Linked DNA regions of Macaca mulatta. The protein of the gene in region 4 interacts with the protein of the main gene of each other region in a biochemical or structural test. Links are inferred from orthologs where the notes say so. Each region holds a gene or a part of one and is shown on either strand. Other genes may lie near its edges. The genes, in order: NACC1, NR2C1, ESR1, HDAC4, CAMK2D, PPARG and UBE2I.

Region 1 (4,585 bases), on a different chromosome or scaffold from region 4:
CTAGGCTGTGATGCCCAGAACCTACCGGGCATCTGCTTGGCTGGGCTGTACCAGGTGTGCCACGTCATTGAGCTGGACATTCCGGCGTATGAGATCCACAGCCCGGGCAGAGGTATCGTTTGCAACCACAGATCTGAGCCCAGGCACCTCTAGGGCAAATCGAATGGAACGTAGGCCTGAAGCTGCCAGGCCTTCCAGCACATGCAGGCCTTCCTGTTGGAGTGAGCAGAAAACCTCCCTCACACCTCCATCTCCATCCTCTTCTGGGCCCCAAGGAGCCCCCACCACCCACCTCCTATAGCTCTCCCCCTCCAGGAGCCCTCTGTCTCCCGCTAAATTCCAGGACTGCCAGCTGCTATGCTCAGGCCCCACCTCACAGATTTCCCCCACGGCCGCTGTGCGAGGTTGGTCTCCTGAGGCCAGGTCTTCATTCTCTTTCAGTTCAACCTTTTCCTCCTCTTGCTCTGACAAGTCCACGACCACCTTTTGCGTGTCCTTCTCTCCTGGCACCTTGACTGCAGCCACCCAGAGGCACAAGTCAGAGAGTAACGAAGTCCTCTCTGAGAAACCTCCCCTTAATCTCCAAAATATCTTCCCTGAAATCCCTGGGGAAAGGCTGAAGGAGCAGAACCCAGGGCCTGCTATGTGGCTGAAGCCTCTCTGGATTTGGGCGGCAGAAGGGCCCAGGCAGGGAGATAAGACTTGTGTGACCCCCGCCCGCCAGAAGCCTGGACCTCCACTCACTCTGGATTCCTTTGGCCCCAAGCTGAATGCGAGCAAACTCGGTGATCACAGCACATCTGGTGGGAGACAGAGGACTAGCTCATACCCCGCCCCCGCCATCCACACTGACCCACTAGCCGATGCCAGGCTGACCTCTGACCCCTGCTCACGTCAGGTCCCGATTGAATTCCTGCACCGGGTTATAAAAGACCTCGTTGGCGCTGGGAAAGGCGATTTTGGCAGCCCCCTCGGTGATTGTCGTCTCCTGGACTTCACGTGGGCATTCTTCTCCGCAGGGCCCGGTGCCGTTCTCCATCGCTGCTGGATTCGGCAGCCCTGGGGACTGCCCCTCGAAAAACCGGGCTGTACAGAGCACACGGGTGGGGCGGAGAGTGAGGCTTAGCCACAGAACGATCCTTGCATGAGACATCCGCTGGTGCCTCTGTCCGCCAAGCCTGGTTCGGGGGGCGGGGAAAGGCACAGAGAGGGTCAGAGAGCCGCATTCTGGGCCCGGGGGTGTCCTACATATCTATGAAGTAGAAACTAGGAAGACCTGCGGCCTCGGTAAGCTGATAACCCCTCGTTTTGGGGATGACTGGTTCCTGCGGAGCCGATGCCCTCGTGCAGGCCCGCCCTGAGTCTGAATCCCTTCCCGCACTGCCCAGCCCCTCCTCACCTGGTCTCGTAGCCACAGAAAACCGAATTAGTCAAGGTGCACGTTTCCCAAATTAGGACCTGGGCGCCGCCATGTTGGCACGGTGGGTGGGGGAAATCACATGATAGTGGTTGGCCAATCAATGAGGACGTGGACGGTGGGCGGCCGGGATCAAAATGAATGCCATAAAGGAAGCGCGCTGATCATGCTGTTCCGGGGGTTTTAATCACAGTGGATCCCCTGGGAGAGGACACGTCACTAGTCCCATTTCACAGATGAGGAAGTTGTGGCTCAGAAAAGGGGCGGTAAGCGGAGAAACCCAACAGCTATTGGTCCTCTTCTGTGTTCTGGGTGCTATATACACATTATTTCAGAGCACTCTGCAGGGATAACTCAGGCTCTGGAGTTGGATTTACTGGGTTTGAATCTCAGTCCCACCACATGCTCTGGGCCGGTTACTCTAGGGCCTTCAGTTTTCTTATCTATTAAATAAGAATCGTGGTTTCTCAGATAGAACAAAGATTAAATGACAGATTCCTGGAAAGTGTGTAAAGAGCCACTCTGACCTTGTAAGCGCTCGGTAAAGTTCTAACCAGTGTACGAAGGCAGGACAGCGAAGTGGTTCCCGGGTACCTGGGTTCCAGTCTTAGCTCGCCCTGCGACTTGTTGTTAACTCTGAACTTAAGTTACCGCTTTTGCAAAAGGGCAGAACTTTTTACCATTTGTTAGTGGGTTGTAGTGAGAAGTAAACGAGTTAGTGCACGTAAAATGCTAACAGAACCTAGCATCCGGTAAGCATCATAAAAGTCTTAGCTGTTATTGTCGCTTTTGAGCCTGCGTTTAAATCCTGGCACCCGCCATCACTTCCTTGCTGTGTGATGATCTTGACCAGCTTTCTTTGTGCCTCCTTTTCTGTCTTTCTTTCTTTTCTTTTCTTTTTTTTTTTTTTTTGAGACGGAGTCTCGCCCTGGATCATGCAGTGGCATGATCTCGGCTCACTGCAACCACCGCCTCCCGGGTGCAAGCGATTCTCCTGCCTCAGTCTCCCGAGTGACTGGGATTACTAGCGCTTGCCATCACGCCCGGCTAATTTTTGTATTTTTAGTAGAGACAGGGTTTCGCCATATTGGCCAGGCTGGTTTTGAACTCCTGACCTCAGGCGATCCACCCACCTCGGTCTCCCAAAGTGCTGGGAGTACAGGCGTGAGCCACCGCGCCCAGCCGCCTTTATTTTCTCTAGTGTGTAACAGTTCCCACTAAAAAATTTTACTGTGTAGTTTAAACGAGCTAATTCCCATAAAGAACCTAACACGGTGCCTGCTACAATAAACAGCAGTCATTATTGTTTTTGTTTTACAGGAAACTAAAGTTCGGAAAGGTAGAGCGACTTGCCCAAGGTCGCGGGACTAGAAGGTGGCGGGGTCGGGATTCGAACCACCGAGCTGAGCCGACGTACCGGCGAGGATCCTCCCAGGGGCATAGAGAGGAGACGGAGCCGGTTAGATGGGGCGCGCTCGGAGCTCGGCTGGCCTCGCCTGGAGGGCGGGGCCTGAGGGCGGTGCGCGGGCGGGGCCGGTGCCGCTCCTCCCTGGCCTGGCTGCGGCGGCGGCGCGGCTTGCGCTCGCTCGGCGCTCGGCTGGGGCGGCCTGGCCCACAATGAATGGCCGCCGCGGCTGCCGCTGCTGCTGAGGCGGAGGCCGCGGAGGCCGCGGAGGCGGAGGCCGAGGCCCCGGCGCAGGGGGGCGCGCCCCGGGCCCAGGCCCGGCCCCAGCCGCCGCTGCGGAGCCCGCCGGGAGCCCCCGGAGCGCGGCCACGGCGCAGGTGAGGCGGCCCGCCTCAGGCCCGGTTCCGGCCTTCTCCAGCCGGGGCGGCCCGAGGGCTGAGTGGGGAGGGCCTGGGTGCTTTCTCGGACTGAGGAGGAGCCGGGCCCGCAGCCTGCACTGTGCCCGGGCAGGCGTGTGTGTGCAGGCCCGGCTACCGCGGGCAGACTTGAGCGTCCAGCCCGAACCTCGGGGCTTGGGGGCGGCAGGATCGTACCTGGACCGCTCCCCCAGCTCCCAGCGAGGGAGGGGGCCAGGTCGGGCCGGGGCGGGTACCGGGGATCCAGGGAAGTTAGAGGGTCCGAAGCGGAAAAGTGAGGAGGCGCCCGTGGATGCCGGAGGGGGAGGGGGAGGAGGAGTCGGGCTCTGGCCAGGCCGAGTGGGGGAGGAGAGGAGAGCGGCGCGGCCGGAGGGGGGCGGGGAGGGGCCGGGCCTGCAGGTACCGCCTGGGCGCTGGAGGAGGTGGGTGGGTCAAGTTACAGGCCTGGGGGCGGCTGAGGAGAAGCCCAGGAAGTGGGGCACGGTGGGTGTGGGCGGAGTTAGTTCGGGTGGGGGCGGATAGGAGATCCCAGAGATGTTTTCCGGGGGTCACATGAGGTCAGGACTCAGATGTGGGGAGGGGGAGGCTAGATCTGGGGGCGATTAGGTAAGGCGAGGGACTGCTGTAGGAGCTTTGCGAGTCGGGGGAGCAGAGCCTTTGGGCTAGGCTGGGGGGATGTGGGGGCAGGTCAGGAAAAGCTAGTGTGACCAGCAGGTATATACTGAGATGCGCCCCGCATCGACCCCAACTCGAAGTGTTAGTTCAGAGTCACATCTAAGGGGTTCCCTCATTCCCACACCTCATCCCAGAAGCCTCTAGAGTCCTGACCCTACCCCTTGGGCAAGCCTCTGCCAACTGTTCAAAGGCGCTGGCCAGTGGGTGTTTGTGTGGGCAGCTGGAGACAGTCTGGAACACCTAGCTTAGGCATCTTGTTTATCACAAGGTGGCCCTCGCCCACCCCCACCTTATATATCTACAGGGAGGCAGCCCAGCAGACATTACCTGGGTATTTTAGGATCCTGCGTTCTTTCTCTACCTTTTGTGACCAGAAGCTGTTGGTTCAAGCCTAGTGGATGGGACCTCATAGCCACCGTCATATATATTAGTACCATGGCCTCCCAGGCACCAACTCCTTGCGCCTGAGTTCTGTGTGCCACCTCCCTAGGGGTGAAGAATTAGAGGGAGTGAGCATGTAAAACTCTGCTAATGGTGGTTTGGAGGCTCCCGATGGGGTAAAGGCAGGGCACAGAGAAAAGTTAAAGGGATCAAATCAGGCACTCACACCCTGGCCCAGGGATCTACCTCTGGGACACTAGTCCTGGGCCAGGCCCTGTGCCGAGCTCGCTG
Region 2 (3,874 bases), on a different chromosome or scaffold from region 4:
GAAGAGTATGTGTTTGTTGCTTTCATGTTGAAGTGATAATCATCCTAGTGAAATTAGGAACATTTCTGATTTTTTGTTTTTTTGTTTTTTTTTTGAGACAGAATTTCACTCTTGTTGCCCAGGCTGGAGTGCAGTGGTGCCATCTTGGCTCACCGCAACCTCCACCTACCGGGTTCAAGCGATTCTCCTGCCTCAGCCTCCCGAGTAGCTGGGATTACAGGCATGTGCCACCACACCCAGTTAATTTTTCTATTTTTAGTGGAGACGAGGTTTCTCCATGTTAGTCAGGCTGGTCTTGAACTCCTGACCTCAAGCGATCCACGTGCCTTGGCCTCCCAAAGTGCTGGGATTACAGGTGTGAGCCACCGTGCCCGGCTGAACATTTCTAATTTACGTTAAAAAAAAAAAAAAAAGGCATCTTGTAATGTGGAATATTTAAGAACAAAGCAATTTACCAAAGCAAAGGAAGCGATTAGGAAAACATTTTAAAATGCTTAAAAATATCTAAGCTTTAAATTGTACTAAACACACCTTATCTGATGTCATCAGCACAGTTGACTCAGTTTTTACTCCAGATGGATGAATATTCACGAACATTCCTGAATCTAAAAGTCCTGTTGACCTGTAACAAATAAGCACACATTTTGGCCTGAGTTTCATTGGGAAGAAAAACAAAATGACCAGCTACTCAGTGTCTGTTTTACTTTACCTTGTAGTTTCACTATCTGTTACAAAAGTTGGAGTTGCAGTTAATGGGCTACGAAGGTCCTTTCGGATATAGATTTTTTCTGTTGAAGCGGCACAGTTGGAAGATTTTTCTCGTGATACTTCAATGGGTTTTCTTTCACATTGGACAGCTACAAAAATGTGTTAAACTATTATATCACAATATAGGATTTACAGACAATTATAAATGTAAGCTGTAGGTAAGCTTAATGCTGCTAATAGGAGACATGGCTACCATACTAAACTCCAAAGATAACCATCAATTTTTAGAAATTATGTGCGAGTTCAACAAAGTTGCTTTAGATTAGTAAAACTAACCAATTTGCATCTCTCATTCTTTTTTCTCTCCCTGCTCCCCCATTCCTGTGATAAAAATGAAAAGGAACTCTTTTTTAAAAGTTCACCATCAAGAAGAAAGAACTAAAGTTAGTAGTCACTTACCTATCTATATGAGAGCTTTAAACAAAATGAAGTGAAATTTAATCCATTGAAAAAATACTGAAAGGAACAAAAAGGCCTAAGGTAGATCTTTTATTAATGAAGGGCAAGAGATTTTTGAGAAGTAATTCAACTACTTGGTCTTCCTTTCTAAAATATAATACATAGTATTTGTAAGAATTTTATCTCATAACACTTAGGAGATAGTACAGTAAGGTTGTTAAACTGCCAGGATTCAAAGCCAGCTTATGCCACTTACATTAGTTGTATGACCTTGAGCAGGTTTCTCAACCTGTTTACCCAAATGTAAAATGGGTAACCTGGTACCTACTGCAGAGAATTGCTGTGAGAGTAAGTTAATACATATGCTAAGTGCAGTGTCTAGCATAGTGCGAGCTCAATCAATACTAGGTATTGTCATTATCTTACTAATCACCTTTTAGTAGTTTAATCCAAAAGTAAACTGGTATCTTAAGCTAGTTAAACTTGCTGCCAAACTACAAATACGTGCTTTTTACACAGGTATTCAATAAATATTAGTGGAAAAAATAAAAAATACATACGTATGTCTGTATTCTTATATTTTTAGTTGGAAAACTGTAAACTAAAAAGTATACATATTTGACCTATTTTAATTTGTTAATTTCAATACTCTTCTAGTTTGCTGGAATCTTTAAAAAGTATTTTCTCCTTAAAAGCTAATACATACAGTCTTGCTTCATTCCAAACGCAATACATCTCTGTAACCTGCAGTATTGACAGCGGTTTCGGTGGTGCTTATTAATAATACAATCCTTTGATCCTCGACATGAATATACTAAATTTTTTCGGATGCTTCTTTTAAAAAATCCTTTGCAGCCTTCACAAGTTACTGCTCCATAATGACGTCCTAGAGATAAAATGTTTAAGAAAACATAAAAGTCACATTATTTCAGAACAGACATGAAATAAGCCAATTTCTTCCCTTTAAACAACATGAGGTGAAACTGATTTTTGAGCTTCTGACATAAAAAACAGTTTTAGAAGTTATTTTTATTTATTTATTATAATTTTTTTAGAGACAGGATCTCACTCTGTGGCCCAGGCTGAAGTGCAATGGTGCAATCACAGTTCACTGCCGTCTCGAACTACTGGACTCAAGTGATATCCCCAAGTAGGTGGAACTACAGGCTTGTGCCACCACAACTGACCAGTTTTGTTATTTTTTTTTTTTGTAGAGACAGTCTTGCCATCTTGCCCAGGTTAGTCTTGAACTCCTGGCCTCAAGCGATCCTCCTGCCTCCACTCCCAAAGTGCTGGGATTACAGGCATGAGCCATCTCACCTGGCCTAATGTAATATATTAGTAAAGATCAGAAGTCATCATTTTTAAATGATTCCTTGGCCAAAATTTCTAGTTTTCACATTAAAACATTTTTCCACAGCTGGGCATGGTGGTTCATGCCTGTAATCCCAGCACTTTGGGAGGCCACGGCAGGTGGATCACTTGAGGTCAGGAGTTCGAGATCTGTCTGGCCAACATGGTGAAAGCCCATCTCCACTAAAAATACAAAAATTAGCTGGGCGTGGTGGCACACACCTGTCGTCCCAGCTACCCAGAAGGCCAAGGCAGGAAAATTGCTTGAACCCAGGAGGGAGAAGTTGCAGTGAGCCAAGATTGCACCACTGCATTCCAGTCAGGACAACACAGCAAGACTCCATCTCAAAAAAAAAAAAAATTTTTTTTTTACATATTCACTTTCAAAAGTGAAATATGCATTTTATTTCATTACAAATCAAATTAAACTGCACTGAAGTAAAAAAATATATAAGTGAATAAAGAGCTTTGGAACCAGGCATGGTGGCTCACACCTGTAATTCCAGCACTTTGAGAGGCCAAGGAGGGGAGGGTGGATCACCTGAGGTCAGGAGTTTGAGACGAGCCTGGCCAACATGGTGAAACCCCATCTCTAACAAAAATACAAAAATTAGCCGTGTGTGCTGGCACACACCTGTAGCCCCAGCTACTTGGGAGGCCGAGGCAGGAGAATTGCTTGAATCCAGGAGGCAGAGGCTGCAGTGAGCTGAGATCATGCCACTGCATTCCAGCCAGAGCAACAGTGAGACTATCACAAAAAAAAGAACTTCGGGAAAAAATTAGTTAAATTTTATAGGCTACAAATATTAACAATAAAAGTGACATACTTTAAGTAGAAGAAACATGGTAGTGTGGTAGTTATTTCAACAACACAACACATATAGGAGGTTATTTTTTTTTCTTTTTTTATTTTCAGGAGGTTATTCTTAATGTTACCTGATGCTTTGTCTCCACACACTACGCAAAGATCAAAAACCTTATTTGGTCCCTGGTCTGGAGAAGAATTATCTGTTAGGAGCTAAAAAAACAAAACAAAACAAAACAAAAACCTGTTGTTACTCAGTAGCACTCATTCTATTAAAAAAATTAAAGAACATTCAGTTGGTCTTGCTTTGTTGCTTTCTTTTTCACAAGTTATTTTTAAACTTTGTACTCTATGAAGAGCTCAGAACCTTTCCATGTGGAATGACGTGACAAAAATAAGCTTGTAATAGCATGAAGAGATAACTCTGAACCTTTTAAATAGAAAAGGGGCTATAAATAAATTTCCTTGAGGTAATTATAATCATGCAGATGTGGTTGCTATACAAAGGTATGGACTTAAAAAGCTCATCACTAGGCACAGCTAATAAGA
Region 3 (3,874 bases), on a different chromosome or scaffold from region 4:
CCCTCACTCCCCACTGCCATTCATCCAGCGCCGTGCAGTAGCCCAGCTGCGTGTCTGCCGGGAGGGGCTGCCAAGTGCCCTGCCTACTGGCTGCTTCCCGAATCCCTGCCATTCCACGCACAAACACATCCACACACGCTCTCTGCCTAGTTCACACACTGAGCCACTCGCACATGCGAGCACATTCCTTCCTTCCTTCTCACTGTCTCGGCCCTTGACTTCTACAAGCCCATGGAACATTTCTGGAAAGACGTTCTTGATCCAGCAGGGTAGGCTTGTTTTGATTTCTCTCTCTGTAGCTTTAGCATTTTGAGAAAGCAACTTACCTTTCTGGCTAGTGTCTGTATCCTAGCAGGGAGATGAGGATTGCTGTTCTCCATGGGGGTACGTGTGTGTCTCCTTTTTCTTTCATGACTTGTAGGATTCTTTGTGCCATTTGCATATAATTTGGCAGGTTCAGATTTTTTAAGAGCCCTATGAAGTGCTTTTTGCGTGTGTTTTAAAAAGGCATTTGAAAATTGAAAGTGTGATTTATGGAAACTAAATCATCTGTGAAAAATTGCTTTGGAAAGTAATGATTGCTGGCCATAAAGGGAAATATCTGTGATGTACCTAATGTGTTTTTAACCCTTTAGTTGCTGACAATCTATAGTCATTAATGCTAAACTCGATTTTGGCTTCATATTAAATCAGCTAATCTGTATATTGTCCGACAATGGTCTGTTTTTGTAGGAATTAGATAAAATGTATACTTGATATAAAATATTCAAAAATGTAACTATTAGTAACAGTAAGCTTGGCATTTAGATATACCATGAACACTTTGTCAGGTACTCTGTTGGGTGTTTGGGATAGCAATTAAAATAAAGTATTGATAGTTGTACCAGAGTCTATTAGGCTGCAGCAAAGGAAGTTTATTAAAAAGTATAAACTCTCCAAGATTATAGATGCATGACATACTTTCCGTATTTTTTGTGTCCTTAATATGTATATGTATGTGTGTGTGTGTGCGTATGTGTGTGTGCATGCTTAACTTTTAATTCAGTTAAAAACTTTTTTCTATTTGTTTTTCATCTGGATATTTGATTCTGCATATCCTAGCCCAAGTGAACCGAGAAGATCGAGTTGTAGGACTAAAGAATAGACATGCAGAAATGCATTTTAAAAATCTGTTAGCTGAACCAGACCGACAATGTCACATAATTGCCAAAGCTTTGGTTTATGACCTGAGGTTATGTTGGGTATGAAAAGGTCACATTTTATATTCAGTTTTCTGAAGTTTTGGTTGCATAACTAACCTGTGGAAGGCATGAACACCCATGTGCGCCCTAACCAAAGGTTTTTCTGAATCATCCTTCACATGAGAATTCCTAATGGGACCAAGTACAGTACTGTGGTCCAACATAAACACACAAGTCCAGCTGAGAGAATCTCAGAAGGTTGTGGAAGGGGTCCACTTTGGGAGCATTTTGCAGAGGAAGAAACTGAGGTCCTGGCAGTTTGCATTCTCCTGATGGCAAAATGCAGCTCTTCCTATATGTATACCCTGAATCTCCGCCCCCCTTCCCCTCAGATGCCCCCTGTCAGTTCCCCCAGCTGCTAAATATAGCTGTCTGTGGCTGGCTGCGTATGCAACCACACACCCCATTCTATCTGCCCTATCTCGGTTACAGTGTAGTCCTCCCCAGGGTCATCCTATGTACACACTACGTATTTCTAGCCAACGAGGAGGGGGAATCAAACAGAAAGAGAGATAAACAGAGATATATTGGAGTCTGGCACGGGGCACATAAGGCAGCACATTAGAGAAAGCCGGCCCCTGGATTCGTCTTTCGCGTTTATTTTAAGCCGGTTCTTCCCTGGGCCACCTTTAGCAGATCCTCGTGCGCCCCCGCCCCCTGGCCGTGAAACTCAGCCTCTATCCAGCAGCGACGACAAGTAAAGTAAAGTTCAGGGAAGCTGCTCTTTGGGATCGCTCCAAATCGAGTTGTGCCTGGAGTGATGTTTAAGCCAATGTCAGGGCAAGGCAACAGTCCCTGGCCTTCCTCCAGCACCTTTGTAATGCATATGAGCTCGGGAGACCAGTACTTAAAGTTGGAGGCCCGGGAGCCCGGGAGCTGGCGGAGGGCGTTCGTCCCGGGACTGCACTTGCTCCCGTCGGGTCGCCAGGCTTCACCGGACCCGCAGGCTCCCGGGTCAGGGCCGGGGCCAGAGCTCGCGTCTCGGCGGGACATGCGCTGCGTCGCCTCTAACCTCGGGCTGTGCTCTTTTTCCAGGTGGCCCGCCGGCTTCTGAGCCTTCTGCCCTGCGGGGACACGGTCTGCGCCCTGCCCACGGCCACGGACCATGACCATGACCCTCCACACCAAAGCATCCGGGATGGCCCTACTGCATCAGATCCAAGGGAACGAGCTGGAGCCCCTGAACCGTCCGCAGCTCAAGATCCCCCTGGAGCGGCCCCTGGGCGAGGTGTACGTGGACAGCAGCAAGCCCGCCGTGTACAACTACCCCGAGGGCGCCGCCTACGAGTTCAACGCCGCGGCCGCCGCCAACGCGCAGGTCTACGGCCAGACTGGCCTCCCGTACGGCCCCGGGTCTGAGGCTGCGGCGTTCGGCTCCAACGGCCTGGGGGGTTTCCCCCCACTCAACAGCGTGTCTCCGAGCCCGCTGATGCTGCTGCACCCGCCGCCGCAGCTGTCGCCTTTCCTGCAGCCCCACGGCCAGCAGGTGCCCTACTACCTGGAGAACGAGCCCAGCGGCTACACGGTGCGCGAGGCCGGCCCTCCGGCATTCTACAGGTACCCGCGCCCGCGCCGCCCGTCGGGGTGGCCGCCGCGCCCGGCGAGAGGGAGGAAGGGAGGAAGGGAGGGAGGGAGAAGGGGGAGCCGAGGGAGCAGCGGGAGCCGCGGGACGCGCGACCCGAGGGTGCGCGCAGGGAGCTCGGTGCGCGCGGCCCAGCCCGGGGGTTCTGCGTGCAGCCCGCGTTGCGTTCAGAGTCAAGTTCTCTCGCCGGGCAGCTGAGAAAAACGTGCTCTCCACCCACTTAGGGTCCGTGCGACAGGCAGACCCGAAAGCCCGGGGCTTCCTAACTAAACACACGTTGGAAAACCAGACAAAGCAGCAGTTATTTGCGGGAGGAAACACCTCCAGGCAAATAAACACGAAGCGCTTTGAGTCACTCGAGAAGGTCCCGCTCTTGGCATTTAAAGTTGGGGGTGTTTGGAGTTAGCGGAGCTCGGCAGAATTTTATTTATCCTTTCAATGTTTTTGTTTAATGTGCTCCCCAAATTTCCTTTCATCTAGACTATTTGATTGGAAATATGTCGGCTATGATGATGACTTTCTGGGAAGCGATTCCTGTCACCCTCTTTCCCCTCCTCCCCACCCCACGTCCTGGGGCTTTAGAGAGCGATTGGGAGTTGAATGGGTCTGATTTCGGAGTTAGCTGGCTGAGTCCGCGCTGGAGCGGATTGCTGGCATGTGACTTCTGACAGCCGGAAATTTGTAGGTGTCCCGCGAGTTTAAAACAAGCCATATGGAAGCACGAGTGCTTAAAAATAATCTCCCGCCAGCCCAGTGGCGAGCCTGTCCCACCCGGGGAGAATGCCCCGGAGTGGCGTGCGGGTCCGCCGGGGTCTGCGCCTCGCAGCCACTGTGGAACGAGCGCGGCCGGTCCAAGACACAGGAGACCACTTCGTGACTTCAATGGCGAAGGTTGTGTGTCCTCATTTTTATTTTTTTTCCGACAAGATTTATTCTTTCTCCCTCTCCCTTTCCTCCCATTTTCCCTTGCCCAGTTTCTCCCCCCCCCCCCACCTTTTTTTTTTTCCTGATGGGCCTGCAGAGGGATTAGGTGGGCGCTTCTGGTGAACAC
Region 4 (3,874 bases):
CTGTAAATGATCACAGCATCCACGTGTTAGTGAGATACAGCATGCTTTTTAAAGAAGTGAAGGAAATAGAGGTATTAATTGATCAAAAAGACAGGCAGGGTCTGATCAGAAGTCAAGACCTTTTGTGGCCCAGTGGTGCTAATGAGCAGCCCTGCAGATCCAGACAAGACGGGTACGATCGTGGCACCCAGAGCCAGTAAGGCTTCAGGGCACTGACACCCAGTAACCAAATGCACAGGAGCCTGATGAAGAAGGCCAGTGAATGATTGGTTAATTTCCAGTGAAACATAAAACTTCTGAGTCAACAGAAATACCTGAGGCATTTGGGCAGCCAGCTGGAGCCCCGTATCTGCAGCCAGAGTGTCCTCAGAAAGGTGGCTTCCTCCCTATAGGCAGGAAGCGAGCCTGAGGAACCACAGCTGTAGGATTTGATTCTGTCCTCCAGCAGCAGAGCTGCTGCCTCGGCTGCAGGAGCCACTGGATCATTCCCTCCCTTGTCTCTGGACTCCATGCTGGCCGTGCCACTGAGCACCTCCCCAGCTTCCTGACTGCCAGCTGTGTGGCCAGAGCTGCATCTCTACCCCCAGCAGCACCCTGGAAGCCAGGAGCAGGACGCCCTGCAGTAAACTGTTCCCTTTAATTCTCAGCTGCAGGTCTTGGCACCGAATGAATCAGTGTGGGGCCTTGTACCTGGAGCACCTAGACCCAAGCCTGCCGCACGGGGGGTCAGGTCTCAGTGGTCTCCAGAGGCTTCTGGGCCAGGAGCCCTTCTCTACCAAGCTTCCCCCGGCGGTGGGCATTGGGTGCTATTTCTCCTTTTTGTTCAGAGGGCGGCCTCTCTCTAATTTCTGGGCCGTCTTAATTAGCACCCCGGGCACTAAACACTACACAGCCCAGCAGCCTGGCAAAGACAGAGAGAGAAAGCCCCGGGCCTCTCTGGCACACACACGGTGCTTCGTGGTGAACACTCATCCACAGGTCCCGTCTGACAGGCCCGGGTTTGGGGCCTCTTCCTGTGGTCGGGCCTTGAAAGTCGATGAAGGTCTGAAATTCAGTGTGCTGTTATTATGCGGATAAGAAGTGGGAAACTATTTACATTAATAATTTTTGGGACTAGTTTCTCATAGATCGGCGTTCACTTTGAAAAAAGAGGCTTGTTATATTCCAAGCGTGAGATGATGATTAGAAACAATTTCTGTTCTCTCTGGAGAGTAATAGGCAGAACTCCTTATCAGGGAAACTTGGTAGTACACGGAGCAATTTGCCGAGGTAAACCTAAGGCGGGGCACCTTCCAGCCGGTGTCCGGGAGGATTGCTTATTAACCGCTTAACCACGTGGGGCCCACAGCAATCCCAGCTGAATTTGGTTAGCCGCAGACTGGGGGCCTGTGGGTGCTGGCTCCTACTCCAGCTCCTGCTCCAGCTCCTCCGCCTGTCTCGGGGCTCCCCTCTTCTCTGCTCCCTCCTGGCTCTTTTTTTTTTCTTTTTTTGAGACGTAGTCTCACTCTGTTGCCCAGGCTAGAGTGCAGTGGTGCCATCTTGGCTCACTGCAGCCTCCACCTTCTGGGTTCAAGTGATTCTTCCCCCTCAGCCTCCCGAGTAGCTGGGACTACAGGCACCTGCCATCATGCCTGGCTAATTTTTTTTTTTTTTTTTTTGGTAAAGACAAGGTTTCACCATTTTGGCCAGGCTGGTCTCGAACTCCTTACTTCAGGTGATCTACCCACCTTGGCCTCCCAAAGTGCTGGGATTACAGGCGTGAGCCACCTGGCCTGATTCCTAAAGACAGGACAGATCAGAGCCTGGCCAGGCAGCTCTGGCTTCCCCCAGTGCTGGCAGCACAGGGCTGGACTCCGCCTCTCATACAGGAGCTGAGATGTAGGTACCTGGTTTTCCACGTTCACAGGATTTGTTCATCAAAACTAAGACAGGATTGGCGCAGAGCTCCCAGCGAGGAGGCGCCCGGCTTTCTTTGTGCCTCGGCTTGGGTGGCAGGTCGCTGTGCTCTCCCTCAGCTGCTGTCTGGGGAGAGGCTAGGCAGCTGTGGCCTCATCTCTGCCCTGCTTCCTCCACTCCACTCTGCCTCGTATGAGGGTGTGCACCTCAGCCTGTTCCCAGAATCCCTTGGGGTGTCCCAGGCCCCTGACTAAGTGGCCTCCCTACACAGAGCCCAGCCCAGCCCCATCTCATCAGAGAGGCACATCCCCACCAGCAGGCCTGCTCCAGGCTCCAAGGGTCCTGGGTGCCTGGAAGCTGATGGGCTGTTTCTGCTTTTAGCCTGCATGAGGATGTGTGGAATGTGAGACCAGGGAGGGGAGCGGCTGCAAATGAAGCCGAGCTAGCACTTCCAAGTCTGAGAATCAAGGGTGCTTTCTCACCCAAGTTTAGTGTGCAGATTCAGTGCTGTTGGTCAAAACTAAGACCCACAAACCCAACAAGGGGGCGAGGCTTCATGCCCACCCACTGTACGTGTGTGGTGTGGCAGAGTGAGTGCTTTGGTCCCCGTGTGTGGTGTGGCAGAGTGGGTACTCTGGTCCCCACATCTGCATGGCCTTCGCATATCTCCCAGTGGAACCAGCGAGGGCCAGGCTGCCGCCCCAGCAAGAGCCTCTCTCCACACCTGCCAGGCCCCACTCCCCTGCACCTGGTCCAGGCTGCTCCTGGCTCAGTACCTCCTCAGAGAAGCCCTCGTTGATACCCCATACTGTCTAGGCCTCCCTGGGACCCCGTGACTCAGCCTGTGTTATCCTGTTGATAAAGCCCATGGCGGGATCCCATGTGGACAACCTGCTTTCCCTAGAAAGAGCCACATCCTGGGAGACAGAGCCCGTGCTGGCCTCATTCTCGGCTCTGGGCCCACTCAGGCTTCAGGGCACTCACAGGGAAGGCCTCTCCACGCAGCTGGCCTCCCAGCATCCTTGTGGCCCGTGTATGGCCTGTGCATGGATGGGAGACTTGCAAGAGAGGGCAGCCCCTAGCCCTGCAGCCCAGCCGTGGGAGGTGCCTGCAGCCGCCAACATGGCCGTTTCTTCCCCGCAGCAAGCCCTCCTGCTGGAGCAGCAGCGGATCCACCAGCTGAGGAACTACCAGGCGTCCATGGAGGCTGCCGGCATCCCCGTGTCCTTCGGCAGTCACAGGCCTCTGTCCCGGGCGCAGTCCTCACCGGCATCTGCCACCTTTCCCGTGTCTGTGCAGGAGCCCCCCACCAAGCCGAGGTTCACGACAGGTAACAGATGGCCTTTGTGCAGCCTGAGGATGTGACGCGGGCCACAGTGGGCACAGACCGGGGCGGGGGGTACTCCGGGCCCAGCTCTGCAGAGGCTGAGGGGCTGGGCAGGCACGAGGGCGGGAACCACACAGGCCTCTCATGGAGGCCCTCTCCCTGCCCCACGCCCTACACCCTCAGTTCTGTTATTCTGGGGGCCTGTCATGGGCTCACTTGCCCACCTTTCCTGTCCCAGAGACCCATGGTCTCCTCCAAGAACAGTCCACAGCCCATGCCCGTGGGGCCATGAGAGCCTACAGCTTCTGGTCCGGCTTAGGAATCACGAGCCCACACTTCTCCACTTACTCTCTCATACTTCACCCACGTCCACAGCGTTGACTCTGAGGCTCCAGTGGCAGGACTGTGAATGGCTGGTGGGGGGCCATGATTACACGAGAGCAGAGCCCGGGACCCCTGGGACATGCTGCGGGAGCCACACATCTGTCTGTGCCATCCCTCGTACCATCCTCACCCCAGGGAGGTGACCTGCCGGCAGGGGTCCTTGGTTTTCCCTGCACGGTACCCCACCAGAAGTCAGGAAGCAAGCGAGGTGTCCACCATGGCTGAGGAGGCAGGCGGGGCTGGGCCCTGGACTTGTCTGCCTGGAGC
Region 5 (4,399 bases), on a different chromosome or scaffold from region 4:
AGCGCCTTTAAATCTTAGATTCTCTTGTGTTTGCAAGTTATGTTTTATCTTTCAGCTGTGAAATTTTAAGTCTCTGAAGTAATACTACGAACAAATTAGCAATAGGATTGCAAGGTTTTTATAGTCCCGTGCTGTAGAACAAAAGGCAGTAATTTGAAAAAACTCGTCCATAACGCTGTTTTCGGTCTGCGTCAAATTTGCAATTGCATAGTTTTATTAAAGAGAACGGGAAAGAGGGCCCAGAAGTTGTTCTAGCAATCGGCAGCAATTTATCTATTTTAAATTGTAATGCATACTTTTTTTTCCTCCTACTGAAAACAATGGCAGATATGCTAAAGGGAAGGACACATTCTTGAACCACTAAGTGGTTTTTCAGATAGCCATTTACGGAGTGCACTCAAGTCCCACTATCTGGCTGAAAGCAAAGTACACACGACCTCCCCTTTTCCTTTTTCCCTTTGCAAAGCGAAACAGGCTAGACGCGTTTACGTGATGTGAATGACGTCAGCCCCCACCGGGTCGCGTGACCGACACCCAACCTTCCTACTACCTCGCCCCGGCCGCCAGAGTGGGAAATATCGCGAGAACTCGCCTTACTATCAGAACTTACTGAGGTTACAGGGGAGTTACTCAGAAGGGAAGGGAAGGTGTGGTTGAGTGGTGGAGTTTTTGCCTTCATTCTTTTAACGTTCATAGCCAAAGCAAAGGCCTTTGGGAATTGCCAGAGCCTCAGCCACCATCCTGGAAAACAGCGGGGGAGGTGGGCCTGGAGGTGGCAAGTGAAATGTGGCTCAGGGGTCGTCATTGCCCCTTGCAGAAGGGGCTGCGGGGGAGGGAGACAGCCTGCGCCGGGTTCTGGGGAGCTGGCGACGCAGTGAACCCCGCTGAGGTTGGGTTTTGCCCCAACAGTCGCTGGTGGCTGTGGGAAGGGTTGGGACCTTCTCTGAGAGCAATGAACAGCCCACATCCGGCCCCTGCTGTGTCAACTTTGAGTGGCGTGGAGATGAAGTGGTTGCTCTGCCTTGCTCGGCCACAGCGGGTGTCGTGGGCCGGCAGCCGGCCTGGAGAAGTCACTGCTGCCCAGCGCCCAAAACAGGGGCGTGGGCTACCGCGACCAAGGGCGGCAGCCCCGGGCCATCCTCGAGTTGCCCTGCATCTTCCCGCTCAGTCAGCCCCAGATTGAGGCAGGCTTCTCTGTGCGGGTTTAAATGGGTAACTGACGTCTCGCCTCATTCACCCAAACCTCCAGGCTTCTCCCCCGCAAATCCTCCTCCACCCACCTGGTTTCTCCTAGACGGGTGTGCTCGTGTGTGCGACCGAAGGAGGGATAGCGAGAGATCCACGAAGGGACACACTTGGAGTCGCTAGAGGGAGGTGTGGGACCAGCGAGGAGGGGGCTTCGCCAGGGAGGGGGTGCTGGCTGGCGGAGGGAGCGGCGGGAGGAGGCGCCAGGGGAGGAGACGGAGGCCTGGGGACGGCAGACGAGGCTTCGTCCGAGCCGAGCGCTCTTTCTCTCGCTGCGCCGTCTTGAAGCCGCGCGGGCTCGTGAGCAGCGCGAGGCAGTCAAGGTGCCTCGCTTCGCCGGATCCGCTGCTGCCCGCTGGAGGGAAGCCGGTCCCGGGCGCGCACGCTCGCCCGAGCCCCGGGCGCGCTCCGCGCCTGAGCCTGCTGACAGCTGCCGCTGGGCTCTGGCTGTCCGCTCCGGGCTCCGCGGCCTCGGCCCCGCTGCACTCCACCTCCGCCCCCTCGGACTCCCTCCCCTCTGCTTCTACCCCTCCTGCCTCCAGTGCGGATCGTTTCGCAACTGCTTGCCACTCGCCCCGTGCCCGGCTGTTTTTCCGTTTCCCGGCCCCCTCTTCTTGAATACTTTACCCCCTGTATTTGGGGACAGGGACTGGAAAAGGGGCGGGTGGAGCGTCCAGTGGAGAAGAAGGAAGCGAGGCCCGCAGGAGGAGGAGGATCGGCGGACCGTGGGGAGGAGACCCCACGCCACCGTTTCTGGTCATCTCCCCTCCCGCCCCGCCCCTGCGCACACTCCCTCGCGGGCGAGCTACTTTCGGACCAGGAAAGTAAGGGCGGCCCTGGGTGACAGCGCCGCGGGGCCAATCCCGGGGTTAGCCGCGCGTCTGCTCGCTTCTCGTCCGTCGCGCTCCCAGCCAGGGCACAGCCCGGACCAAGGATGGCTTCGACCACAACCTGCACCAGGTTCACGGACGAGTATCAGCTTTTCGAGGAGCTTGGAAAGTAAGCGCCTTTGCCCGGCATCCTCATGTCCCCTTTCCAGCTGAGGGCGGGTCGCGTTGCCCCAGACCCACCGGCCTCCGTCTTGGGGCGAGGGAGTTTGGGAGACGAGAGGAGTGGGAGGAGGGCCCCTGGTTTGTCAGCTCTGGGGAAGGTGCTGTCTTAGTAAGGGGAGGGAACACAGAAGGCGTAGGACCCTTGCCCCGGCTGTGGCTCATTTCGATAGTCCCTAGCCCACCTTCTCCCGGTCCCCCACCCTTCTGCACTGAGAGACTTAGTGAATTTACGATCTCTGCAGTTGTAGCTGTCATCCTGAGAAGTGTGCGCGCGCGCCTGTGTGTAATGTGTGTTTGGAGAGGAAATTAGAACCCATGTAAAATGCAACATAGATCATGTTTTCTGTAAATAGAGATGCCTCCTGGTTAGCCGGCGTGTCGGCCGTATGACCCATGTACTGAGGAGAACTCACAGCCTCAGACGGTGCCATATTTATTGATGCCGAAAGTTCAACTTGGCATGGAGACTATTTCGCATCCAGTAGTTGTTCTGTCCAGGAAAAGGGCCACCCAACAGAACCCAACCCCTTGCCCTATATCCACTGTTATTCTTTGCACCAGATTACCGCTCACCATCATTCTTCCTAGGATTTACGTGTGCATCTTTGCGTTCTCTGGGAGGATTTATTTATACAGGCAGCGGAAAAGCCCTCTGGAGACTGAGCGCGCTCTTAAGAGTAGCCTAGCATTGTGTAAAACCACCTCCTCTACCTAACTGGCAGAACTATTTGGAGATGCTAGGGAAGGAGGCAGGAGATCTACTGAGGACTTGTGTAAAGGGACCTAGGGGCCGAGCCGTGAATGCTGATTTTAGTAGCATTGAACCCAAACCCAATTCCTCTTTCACTAGTTTCGACTGTTACTTTTATGAAAGGGGTGCGTTTATATGTATGTTGTTGGTTTATACTGTAATTAAAGGAAAGGTAAATATTTTTGAAGGTAATAAAAATTATATATGTATATATTGTCTGGTGTTAAAACATGGAGAATATGTCGGAAGAGCAGCTTAATTCAAATCTCTCCCCTCCCCCAGCCCAAAACAAGACACAGAGAAATCACCATACCAGGATTTGTTAAACCACACTAATGTGCTCAAGATTGATATTTTAATGAAAATAATCGCCGTGTTTACTTACTTGGAACCACATTAATTTTTTGTTTCCTACCAAAGTAAGTAGGCGGCAGATTTTTTTGCTGCTCTTCCTCTGCTCTCTTCTGTGCAGGGTTTTTCTCAGAGCATTTGGTGCTGTGAGTGTGAACTGTAAAATGTTTTCAAATTTCTTGTGCAAACAAGAGCGGTCATAATTGGCAGTTCCTTTCATTTTGTTGATTAATAATGTGTGCTCCCAGTTAAATAAAATTTACTTTTATTCTTCAACATTAAAGAAAGTCTAGGTTTCCAGGAAGAATTGTTCATTTACTGGATATTACTGTACTTCACTGGCAATCCACTAAAATCAATAAAAATGCTCAGATTTTATAAATTTTTTAATGGAATGTTATATCTGTTATATTAATGACCTGCTAATTATTGGTTTCCAGGGGGGCATTCTCAGTGGTGAGAAGATGTATGAAAATTCCTACTGGACAAGAATATGCTGCCAAAATTATCAACACCAAAAAGCTTTCTGCTAGGGGTGGGTATTTTCAACCACATATATTGGTTAATTTTGTATGTGTCATGTTGATTATAGGTTCTGTTGTATGTAAATATCATGTAGTTATAACTGAATTTTAGACTTAGGTATCATATTACATACTGAGATTATTTTCTTCCTGAATGCTTCTTGGTCTGTACAGTTTAAAAATAAATGGAAAGATATAATTATTATTCGATAATTGCTATTAAAATTCTATCTGTCCTACAGGCAATAGCATGAATAACTATATTTTAAAGCAAATAAATGTCAGGTGCATTTTGCTTATAGTTTAAGTATAAAATAACTTTTAGAAAGACGATGGAATGGAAAAATATAAGTCTCACAACTGTCATAATTCCCTTTTGCTTTTGGGAGGAAAATAGGTCATAGCTCAGTTGAATCATATATTTCAATTGTAGTTACACTTGAACTTAATTCATCAAGGTATATTTAACAGTAATA
Region 6 (4,647 bases), on a different chromosome or scaffold from region 4:
AGTGATTCCCTTTGAGGACAGGTGGAAAGACTGCATCTGTATGTTGCCAAAGAGTAACAGAGACTGGTATAGGACTGGAGTTCAATTCAGTCATATCCTTAAATATTGTGCCATTGTGTCTGGATTACTTTGTAGTATAAGTAAATTTCCAAGCATGGGGAGGGAAGAAGAAGTGCCTTTATTGAGAATTCAAGTGAATATAGAGAAGACTAATTTTACACAACCGTAATCACTGCAGTCATTTGGACAAATTAGCAAACCCAAGTTTTGCTTTAACTTGGATTGCTTTAATAAAGATGTTTTGGGGCTTAATGGCACAGTTGCCCAACTCCCCACTTTATTCTGTGCTGTTCAGAGCCAGCCAGCATTTCCCCATCAAGCTCTTGCACCATGATTGACAGGGACACTTTTACTAGTCCCCTTGAAGAATGAATAGTTACTCAATGTAGATTAACCAGATATATATTTATTTTACTCAGGGAATATCAGGATAAATATAATTCAGAGAATTAATTGCCTTCTCATATACTGCCCTGTGTGGGGACATCTTTGAAAGTCCGCAAAGTCACTGTGATTCTAGTAGGCCACTCATGTGACAAGACCTGCTCCCACATCAGTAATTTGGCACAGCTAGTGTCTCTCCTTGCCAAAAAGGGCAAAGGCCTTGAGCAAGAAGCCAGCTTTTTCCTGATTACAAAACCGACCACAATTCCTCGCCAACCTAACAGCGTAAGTCTATTTTTTTCTGGTGATGTGTTACTCTTCTCACAGAGAACTCCATTTTTTCATTATGACATAGCACTTATCATTTAAACATCAATTGATGTTCAAACATCAGCTGATGTAACATTGCTGTAGTTGCTATTGATGGATAAGCTGAAGTTTTTAAGAAAGCAAACCCGATATTTAAATCGAAACCATATCAAACCCTTCTTCATTCTCTGAACTATTTAATTTTACAGAATTTGGATAGCAGTCAATATCATTTTGGGCTTCACAAATCAGCAGAACAAGTACCTTAGGAATATAACATTTCGGTAGCATGCTAATACCAACGTTTAAACTATGGATATGTATTTGAATTCCAAAATTTTCTTCAAATCACATGATTAGAGATTCAACCAGGAATAGACATTGAAAGAAAACTTTGCCCAAATAAGCTTTCTGGTATTTCATAAGCAAGAGATTTGAAGTTTTCCATTTAAGAAGGAATTGATGTGAATTTTACGACAGTTAAAAATGCAAGTGGATATTGAACAGTCTCTGCTCTGATAATTCTAAATACAGTATAGTTCACGCCCCTCACAAGACACTGAACATGTGGGTCACTGGCGAGACAGTGTGGCAATATTTTCCCTGTAATGTACCAAGTCTTGCCAAAGCAGTGAACAACATTATGACACAACTTTTTGTCACAGCTGGCTCCTAACAGGACAGTGCCAGCCAATTCAAGCCCAGTCCTTTCTGTGTTTATTCCCATCTCTCCCAAATATTTGGAAACTGATGTCTTGACTCATGGGTGTATTCACAAATTCTGTTACTTCAAGTCTTTTTCTTTTAACGGATTGATCTTTTGCTAGATATAAACAAAATATCAGTGTGAATTACAGCAAACCCCTATTCCATGCTGTTATGGGTGAAACTCTGGGAGATTCTCCTATTGACCCAGAAAGCGATTCCTTCACTGATACACTGTCTGCAAACATATCACAAGGTAAAGTTCCTTCCAGATATGGCTATTGGGGACGTGGGGGCATTTATGTAAGGGTAAAATTGCTCTTGTAGTTTGTCTTCCAAGTTATGTTTGTTTTAATACTATCATGTGTACACTCCAGTATTTTAATGCTTAGCTCGCTGCTATCGCATTCACTTAAAAACATATTCAGATCCTTAAAAAAGGAAACCTAACCTAATCTGTATTTTATCTCTGTGCATGGCTCCCATTTCCTGAATTTTAAGCACTAACGGTATAGTTATATCCAAAAACAATCCTGTTCATTTTTATTTCCTGAGTTTGCATAGATTTCCCAAGAATACATAAAGGCTTTTTAGACTTGAAGGGTCACTTTTTCCTCTTTTCATCTTGTATGTTAGAGATCTCTCATAATGGTTTTTTTCCCTCTTGCAGCGCTTTTGTTCCTCTTGAAGTACTCTCAGTTCTTTTCTGTTCTACTTTGAAATCTAGATACTGTGTGGGCACTTTAGCTCTCCCAAAGAATTGTAATTTACCAGAGTATGGGACCAAGTGATGCTCTTTATTAGATTTCTGAGGATGCCTCCTAGCATAGTGCCCAATACATTGCAGAATGGATTGTCGGAACCTTGAAAAAGATCTGTTCCAAGCATCATATTTTATGCATAAAGAAAATGAGGTTCCTCAAACAGTAAATGCCTATTGTAAGTGACTACCTATTACTTCTCTTCAGATGTGTCAGAATCAGATACCTCCTTTTCAATATTTCTTTCTTGGCCATTGCAAAATGTAATTTCTCCATTTCTACAGCTCCTTCTACTGGAGTTTCTTAGCACCGCTTTTTCTGTTTTGTTTTGTCTCATATTGATGTCTTTATTTCTATTCATTTTATTTTTCTCTTCTCAGATGCTATGTAAAAATAGATTGTTAACTAGTGTGATTCATGTTTTATAATATAGGTGCTAAAGCATTAAAATTAAGTCACTTAATTGCTGAAATAGATTTTAACCTTTTCGTTTTCCTGGAAGCCTGAAGTTTGAACATATTAGTCATCATTTTAAAAATATAAAGCTTTTTAAAAATTAGTAAGAAATGTTTCCTGAAATACTGTTTTATTTTATTACAGTAATTTGTTTCAACATGTATTTCTATCATCTAAGCCTCTTAACTAGGAGTTTTGTTTTTTTCCTTAAAGTGCTGTTATTCTGTTTTTCTGCAAGCCAAAAACATTGTTGCTATCTTTCTTCAGTTATTAATTTACCCTGCCTCAGGGCAGAATGTCCTGGCTATACTGTGAAATAGTTCTTGAGTCAAAATTTGATAGTTTTGTCTATTTTCAAAGAACATGTCTAGAATGCAGTACAACAAATATCAACAAAATAGGTTAACTGAGAGGCAAGTACTATTTGTGGTAAGGGATGGTTATGTGATTCAAGTTAGTTTTCATTCTGTGCTAATCTCTAACTTTATGCTTTGAATTTACCCTGAGTTTAATTTTTTTGAGTCTCAATTTCCTCTAAAAGAATGATCCAGTACTTTTCTTCCTAATTAACATGGTACAGAATGAAATTATTAGCAATTAAAACATGATATTTTGTACCAATAATTTAACCCTTTTCTTACAGGGTCTCTGGCTACTCCTTCTTCATAAGCACTGTTTCTCTGTTAAAAATGTGAGTTCCTAAAGGCCAAAGACCTATGATTGTTACTCCTACTGTAATTTGTAAATGACCTTTAAATAATTGCTCCACCTCTTCCAAAACAGACAGACTTACAAATAAATTAGATATATGATCATTATTAGCCGAGGCTAGCAGTGTTGAACACTGGGGAGATGAGGTATTTGGCCTGGGTACAGTAGTCCTCTTACGTGCTTCTTCCTGATCATAGGCAAAGTGAAATTGGGAGTGTTGCAAATAGTTGGGTACTGCTATTAAGAAAAAGTGGCACATTTCGTGTGAATGACCCAGATATCCAGGTATATTGGTTATATTCAAGAGATTAGGCCAGGCGCGGTGGCTCAAACCTGTAATCCCAGCACTTTGGGAGGCCGAGACGGGCAGATCACGAGGTCAGGAGATCGAGACCATCCTGGCTAACATGGTGAAACCCCGTCTCTACTAAAAAATACAAAAAACTAGCCGGGCGAGGTGGCGGGCGCCTGTAGTCCCAGCTACTCGGGAGGCTGAGGCAGGAGAATGGCGTAAACCCGGGAGGCGGAGCTTGCAGTGAGCCGAGATCCGGCCACTGCACTCCAGCCTGGGCGACAGAGCGAGACTCCGTCTCAAAAAAAAAAAAAAAAGAGAGATTAAAAATATCCACTACACTTTATGCCCAAAGAGGACTTCCATGCTTTTTCCAAGGCTCCATCGTTGCTGTAACCCCTTTATATTGCTCCCCTTTCTTTTTTTTATCAAGAGCTCCTCAAGCAACCCCAAGTAACCTCATGCTGGCTCTGAAACCATTTCCACCAGTAAAAATTGGCGAGATTGAAGGGAAGCTTCCACAAGCTCAAGCTGAATATGCCTCCTGCTTTGAGTGCCAGACTTAGTCCTGTGTGAATTCTACAATTTTAAGTTGTTGCACCAGAGCCTTGAAAGATGATGACACACTTGTCCTTTGGAGCTGATTGAGCAATGGAAATATGCCTTAGAGACATGATAAATGCTGCAATAGACAATCCGTCAAAATGAGTCTCTCCTGAGATAGGAGTGAGTGATTGATTGCATGCCATTTTTATTGAGGGATACTTAATCTGTGGTTACATTACTCCAGGCAACTATATATTCAGAAACATTTAGATAACTAAAATTTTCACCTTTCCAGAAGTTTAAAGGGACCCATGTAGTACCAGGGAATATAAGGACCAATCCTATCTTGGCCACATATTTGCTGTGTGAATTTAAGCATGCCATTTTTCTTCTCTGGCCTTCTGTTTCCACATATATTAACAA
Region 7 (4,674 bases), on a different chromosome or scaffold from region 4:
CTAGACCACTGGGTGGTTGAAGGTGTGCGCTTGTGTGATGTGTCAGGGTTCGGGATCTTGCTTCAGAAACATTCTGGGCGCCTGGGGCAGATCAGGTGCGGCCAGGTGAGCGTCTCCTGACTGCAGGTGCCTGGGTCTTGCAGAAGGGAATACCTCCCCAAGCCTGGGAGAGTTTGCGTTTGGGTGCAGGAGGACCTTTACAGGCTTCTTGTGCCAGCCGTCGTGGCGACCACCCGTTGTGGAGATGAGTGCGGTGGAGTTGTGAGAGGTGAGTGCTTTGCTCACCCTCAGCCAGGAAGTTGCTCGGAAGTCGGTGCTGTCAACCAGCAGAGCAAGGTGGTGATCCGAGAAGCTAAAGCTCAGCCGGTCGCGGGTGCCCAGCAGGACAGAAGGCAGACCTTCAGGCCACTCCTGGAGTGCTTGGCCCTGTCCTGGTTGCTGCAGTGTCTGGGCCTTGCTTGGCTCTGATAGATGAGGGTTGTTTTTGTCTTTGCCTCATATAAGTTCCCTGCTCTGAAGGGTCTAGTAACTGCTAGCCATTCACTTAGTGCTTATCTGTTAATTTGGAAGGGCAAATTCGATTTTCAGCGGGATTTTGAATGCTTCGTCTGTGTTGTGATTACATTGTAACACATTGGCCACTTTCTCCAGGAGGCCAGTAGGAGGGGGAGCAGGGGGAGGGGCCTGGCTTCTGCCTAGGACAGGGTGGGTGTGCACCTGTGGCTCCTTGCCCTGTGGTGCAGTTTCCTGTGAGACCACCCTGTGGTGCTGAGTGCTTTGGGGCAGGGGATACAGCAGCATCAGCCAGACCTTGGCGGGAGGTCTCACAGGAGCACCCTCACGACTTCTCACATCTGAGACAGCAATAGCTAGGTGCTGGGACGGGGGCCTCTAGGTGGCTCTGTCCGGTCTTCAGTAGGAGGGCTACCTGTGGCAGGGTTCCAGGCCTGGCTGGCCTCTCTGGGGCTGGCCTCTCTGGGGCCTGGCCTTGCCTGGCTGTGAGGATCGTGTTGGCCTTGGTCCTTCAGTGTCTGGAGCACTGGCCTGGGGCTTCAGAGACCTGCTTGATTCCTGGCCCCGCTCAGACCCCGGGCACCTGGGAGGTCGTGGCTCCTCAAAACGGCCGTTCACCAGGCTGCTTTGCACCGCACCAGGCACAGGCTGTGGCTACTCATGAAGCCCACCCTGGGGCTGGGGAAGCGAGAGCTGTGAGTCCTCAAGCCACAACTGAGCTGCTCCATGTGGAAGTGGAGGGTGGAGACACGTGCAGAGAGAGCCTTGAAACCGTGGTTGGCGGGAGCTCCACTCCACTCTGGGCTCGAACCCTGCCTGCCCACAGCTGAGCCCAGCTGTGTCCCCCACTTTCTCCCTTTCTGGCCCCTGGCTTCCCCCCACCCCCACTTAGAGAAGGGCATGGGGATGGGCAAGTGGTCCAGAGGGCAGGCGGCCTGCGGGCTCCTCCGCATCCCTGTGAGGAGGGCATGGGGAGGGACATCCCGGTGGGGCCCAGTCTGGGGCTACCTGTCTTGGACTTAATCGTGTAGCTGGAGGCCAGTGCCCGGATGGCCCCTGTCACCCTCTCGCTGTGATGCCAGCACCTACTGACTGGAGGACCCGGGTTCCTTTGCCTGATTTTTCTCAGGCTGCCCTGAGGATCCGTGTTTGGTTAAAAAGGAGCCAAATCCACCTGCAGGGCAGGCGGCTCTAGCAGCCCCGCCTGGCTTCCAGCACCCTGGTTCCCTGGCGACACTGGACCCGCCTGGGCTTCCTTGATCCCAGCCCCACCCCTGATTTCTGCTTTGCTGCCTCGGGAAGCCATCGTGCCGCCCAAAACCCGAATGTGGGCCTCTCGGAGCTCCTTCCTCAATGAGTCTGCTGGGGACTGGGCCTTGCCTCCCTAACAAGTGCCAGGTGAGGCTGCGGCGGCTCTGGCCCAGGTGGAGCTGCTGACCTGGCCCCTTCCTGCAGCTGTGAGGTGTGTGAGGTTCGTGGGCCTGCACAGGTGCGGGCGCCATCCAGGTCACCAGGGCCCTTGTAGGGACGGCCCCCCACGGTTTGGAAGGCCTGGCGCAACCCCCAGCTTTGTCGAGGTGGCCCTTGCTTGGCGCTGAGATGCCAGACTTGGAGGCAGCTTCAGTGTTCCCGTGGACTTTGAAAACCAGCACACACTTGGGCTTGAATTCTCTGGCAGGTTTTGTGCCCTGAGTGCTGTTTTTCATGGTAAAGGTGACCACCAGTAGGGTGACAGGTGAGGCTGGTGTCGAGGCTGCTGGCCCTGTTTGCCTGGTGTCCCCGGGGACAGTGCGGGCCGACAGGCTCCCGCTGGGAACCAGAAGGCAAAGGTGCCAAGCCCCTGAGGTCCCGTGGAGAAGTGTGGAGCTGGAATCTGGCGTGTGTGCCGCTGCCTCTGACCAGGGACCTGGTCCCGTACCCCATGCTCCTGCCCTGCCCCACAGGACCCGTCTGTCCCCTGAAGCCACAGGGACATGCTAGCGGCTGCAGGGTCCGGGAACGGTGGCCCTGTGGGGGGCTCCTCTTTCAGCGAGGCTGAGCCTCTGCCCTGTGGTACTTGTTCCACTCTGTCTTCAACACGGTGAAACCCCATCTCTATTAAAAATACAAAAATTAGCCGGGCATGGTGGCGGGGGCCTGTAGTCCCAGCTACCCGGGAGGCTGAGGCAGGAGAATTGCTTGAACTCAAGAAACGGAGGTTGCAATGAGCCGAGATAGTGCCACTGCACTCCAGCCTGAGGGACAGAGTGAGACTCCATCTCAAAAAAAAAAAAAAAAACAATATTAGGTGTCCCCCTGGCCCGGCTTGAGTCTCAGTTCTGAGCGCCTGATAGTAAGGCGGGGACCCAGATAGTAAGGCTGGGACCCAGCCCTGCCTAGTCCCCACCTGACGGTTCAGTGAGGACCCTGCCACGCCAGCCACCACAGGGTGGCAGCTACCGCCCAGCCACAGCAGCCCAGCCTCTGAACATCCGTCTCCACCGTGGAGCAGAGGCCGCGGCACGTGTCGCAGACCAGGGCTCGGGGGGCCCATGGGGAAGGGGTCCTACCTGTCCCCCCACCCCCGGTGATCTGGGATCCACTCATGAGGCCTCCCCTGGTAGACCCCGGGGTCGGACGACGGCTTCCAGGAGGAGAGTCTCTGCTGGGCTGGGCTGGCGCCTGTTAGGAGCAAGACTGCCCACTGCGGGCCGTGTGCACGTGGCGGGGCCGCAGGAGCCCGCTAGCCTGTCCTGACCCCGTGCTCTGCCTCCTGTGTTCCAGGGACTCTGAACATGTCGGGGATCGCCCTCAGCAGACTCGCCCAGGAGAGGAAAGCATGGAGGAAAGACCACCCGTTTGTAAGGAGGGCTTCGTTTCCGTGTGCAGTGCCGCGGACGGCCCCCCTGGGCTGAAACCGTGCCCCCCACCACTGGGAGGGAGCTGGCCGCGTGCCTGGGTCGCGCTGGTGGGGCTCGCGGGCCGGTTCTCGGTGGTTTTGGTCAAACGAGATGCCACCGCACTGATGTGCTTTTGTGGTTGTTTTCTCTCAGGGTTTCGTGGCTGTCCCAACAAAAAATCCCGATGGCACGATGAACCTCATGAACTGGGAGTGCGCCATTCCAGGAAAGAAAGGGGTAAGAGGCGCGCGCTGCTAGCCTCCTGCCTGTCGGGGCTCAACAGATGCGTGTGGCAACGCCACGGGGAAACTGCTCAGCCCCTGCCGTCTGTGACGGCCGCCCTTGTCACGGGCTGCGGACAACAGGTCAGATCCCCAGCTGTGGCCTGGCCCCCGCCCCGTGCGGACTTGAGCTCAGAAGGTGGTGCTGGCAAGGTTGGGGTGACAGCTGTGTCCCCACCGAGGGCATTTCTGGTTGAGAAGGAAGCAGGCTGGGCACAGGGCTGAGCTGTGGCAGAGGGGAGGGGCTCTGGTGTGTGTTGGGAGCAGGCCTGAGGGCGGGCAGCCTTTGCAGGCTGGAACCCGGGATTCTGCTGTGTCCTTCCAGGTGTGGCTCAGGTCACGGTAGCTGGGTTTGCTGGAGAGCCACCCTGGCGTAAAGCCGCCTCCTGGAGAACCTCCTGGGGCACAGGGACTGGCGACAGCAGCCTAGGATGCCTGCTTGGGGCCCCCTGTGTGTCTGTGGGGAGCAGGGCGGCCTGTGTGCCTGTCGTCTTTGCCCGGCTCCCGTGAAGCACTTGGCCGGGGACTCCAGGCTGGTGTGCACATAAGGTTCATGCTGGTGAACCCTGAAGGAAGGAGAGAGCCCTGAGGTGCTGGTCCTGCCCGAGGCCTTGTTCCCTCCGGCCCATGCCACCCTCTGGGTTTCACTCTGAAACTCAAAGCAGCTTCGGTCCCCCTGAGCTGAGCAGTCCCAGCAGGTCTCAGCTTTGCCTGAGACATGGTGTCACTTGGGTTTGTCGCTTGTCTGAGGCTCTGCTGAGAACGTCCCTTGCTCTTCACGTCACGGCGACGCAGGTGTGCGGCCCCGAGGAAGACGGGAGTGGTGTCGGATTGTGGGGTGGCAAAGGCGCCTCATCCAGGCAGGATCTGGGGCGGGGCTTGCAGAACCCTTGGGGCGAAGGCTGTGCTATTGGTGCTGCCGCCCCAGTGTGTGGCACCCGCCGCCCCGGCCCAGCCCCCGAACCTCGTCTCGTCTCCTTTCTAGGAGGACCTTTCCGACT

What was found.
Region 1: the proteins of HDAC4 (region 4) and NACC1 form a complex in vitro, tested with the Homo sapiens proteins (2 studies listed by BioGRID). The link is inferred for Macaca mulatta from reciprocal best matches to the Homo sapiens genes HDAC4 and NACC1.
Region 2: the proteins of HDAC4 (region 4) and NR2C1 form a complex in vitro, tested with the Homo sapiens proteins (2 studies listed by BioGRID). The link is inferred for Macaca mulatta from reciprocal best matches to the Homo sapiens genes HDAC4 and NR2C1.
Region 3: the proteins of HDAC4 (region 4) and ESR1 form a complex in vitro, tested with the Homo sapiens proteins (2 studies listed by BioGRID). The link is inferred for Macaca mulatta from reciprocal best matches to the Homo sapiens genes HDAC4 and ESR1.
Region 5: of the proteins of HDAC4 (region 4) and CAMK2D, one has a biochemical effect on the other in vitro, tested with the Homo sapiens proteins (2 studies listed by BioGRID, with this or other methods). The link is inferred for Macaca mulatta from reciprocal best matches to the Homo sapiens genes HDAC4 and CAMK2D.
Region 6: the proteins of HDAC4 (region 4) and PPARG form a complex in vitro, tested with the Homo sapiens proteins (2 studies listed by BioGRID). The link is inferred for Macaca mulatta from reciprocal best matches to the Homo sapiens genes HDAC4 and PPARG.
Region 7: of the proteins of HDAC4 (region 4) and UBE2I, one has a biochemical effect on the other in vitro, tested with the Homo sapiens proteins (3 studies listed by BioGRID). The link is inferred for Macaca mulatta from reciprocal best matches to the Homo sapiens genes HDAC4 and UBE2I.

Annotation. Positions count from the first base shown.
Region 1 is NC_133424.1:13,685,913-13,690,497, forward strand, and holds the start of NACC1 (nucleus accumbens-associated protein 1), read left to right. Parts: upstream 1-1,534; 5' UTR 1,535-1,683; intron 1,684-2,737; 5' UTR 2,738-2,876; intron 2,877-3,143; exon of another isoform or gene 3,144-3,199; intron 3,200-4,585. Other genes in the region: TRMT1 (tRNA (guanine(26)-N(2))-dimethyltransferase), read right to left, coding at 26-213, 373-515, 745-800, 894-1,153. UniProt on the Homo sapiens protein: Functions as a transcriptional repressor. Seems to function as a transcriptional corepressor in neuronal cells through recruitment of HDAC3 and HDAC4. Contributes to tumor progression, and tumor cell proliferation and survival.
Region 2 is NC_133416.1:102,391,321-102,395,194, forward strand, and holds part of NR2C1 (nuclear receptor subfamily 2 group C member 1), read right to left. Parts: intron 3,539-3,874; coding exon 3,457-3,538; intron 2,054-3,456; coding exon 1,874-2,053; intron 858-1,873; coding exon 710-857; intron 623-709; coding exon 532-622; intron 1-531. UniProt on the Homo sapiens protein: Orphan nuclear receptor. Binds the IR7 element in the promoter of its own gene in an autoregulatory negative feedback mechanism. Primarily repressor of a broad range of genes.
Region 3 is NC_133409.1:70,539,157-70,543,030, forward strand, and holds part of ESR1 (estrogen receptor), read left to right. Parts: intron 1-110; exon of another isoform or gene 111-269; intron 270-2,276; 5' UTR 2,277-2,346; coding exon 2,347-2,798; intron 2,799-3,874.
Region 4 is NC_133417.1:144,358,328-144,362,201, reverse strand, and holds part of HDAC4 (histone deacetylase 4), read left to right. Parts: intron 1-3,039; coding exon 3,040-3,226; intron 3,227-3,874. UniProt on the Homo sapiens protein: Responsible for the deacetylation of lysine residues on the N-terminal part of the core histones (H2A, H2B, H3 and H4).
Region 5 is NC_133410.1:123,024,609-123,029,007, reverse strand, and holds the start of CAMK2D (calcium/calmodulin-dependent protein kinase type II subunit delta), read left to right. Parts: upstream 1-1,479; 5' UTR 1,480-2,179; coding exon 2,180-2,244; intron 2,245-3,839; coding exon 3,840-3,934; intron 3,935-4,399. UniProt on the Homo sapiens protein: Calcium/calmodulin-dependent protein kinase involved in the regulation of Ca(2+) homeostatis and excitation-contraction coupling (ECC) in heart by targeting ion channels, transporters and accessory proteins involved in Ca(2+) influx into the myocyte, Ca(2+) release from the sarcoplasmic reticulum (SR), SR Ca(2+) uptake and Na(+) and K(+) channel transport.
Region 6 is NC_133407.1:151,164,883-151,169,529, forward strand, and holds the start of PPARG (peroxisome proliferator-activated receptor gamma), read left to right. Parts: upstream 1-1,608; 5' UTR 1,609-1,632; coding exon 1,633-1,714; intron 1,715-4,647. UniProt on the Homo sapiens protein: Nuclear receptor that binds peroxisome proliferators such as hypolipidemic drugs and fatty acids.
Region 7 is NC_133425.1:2,512,147-2,516,820, forward strand, and holds the start of UBE2I (SUMO-conjugating enzyme UBC9), read left to right. Parts: upstream 1-1,741; 5' UTR 1,742-1,911; intron 1,912-3,276; 5' UTR 3,277-3,287; coding exon 3,288-3,353; intron 3,354-3,545; coding exon 3,546-3,629; intron 3,630-4,674. UniProt on the Homo sapiens protein: Accepts the ubiquitin-like proteins SUMO1, SUMO2, SUMO3, SUMO4 and SUMO1P1/SUMO5 from the UBLE1A-UBLE1B E1 complex and catalyzes their covalent attachment to other proteins with the help of an E3 ligase such as RANBP2, CBX4 and ZNF451.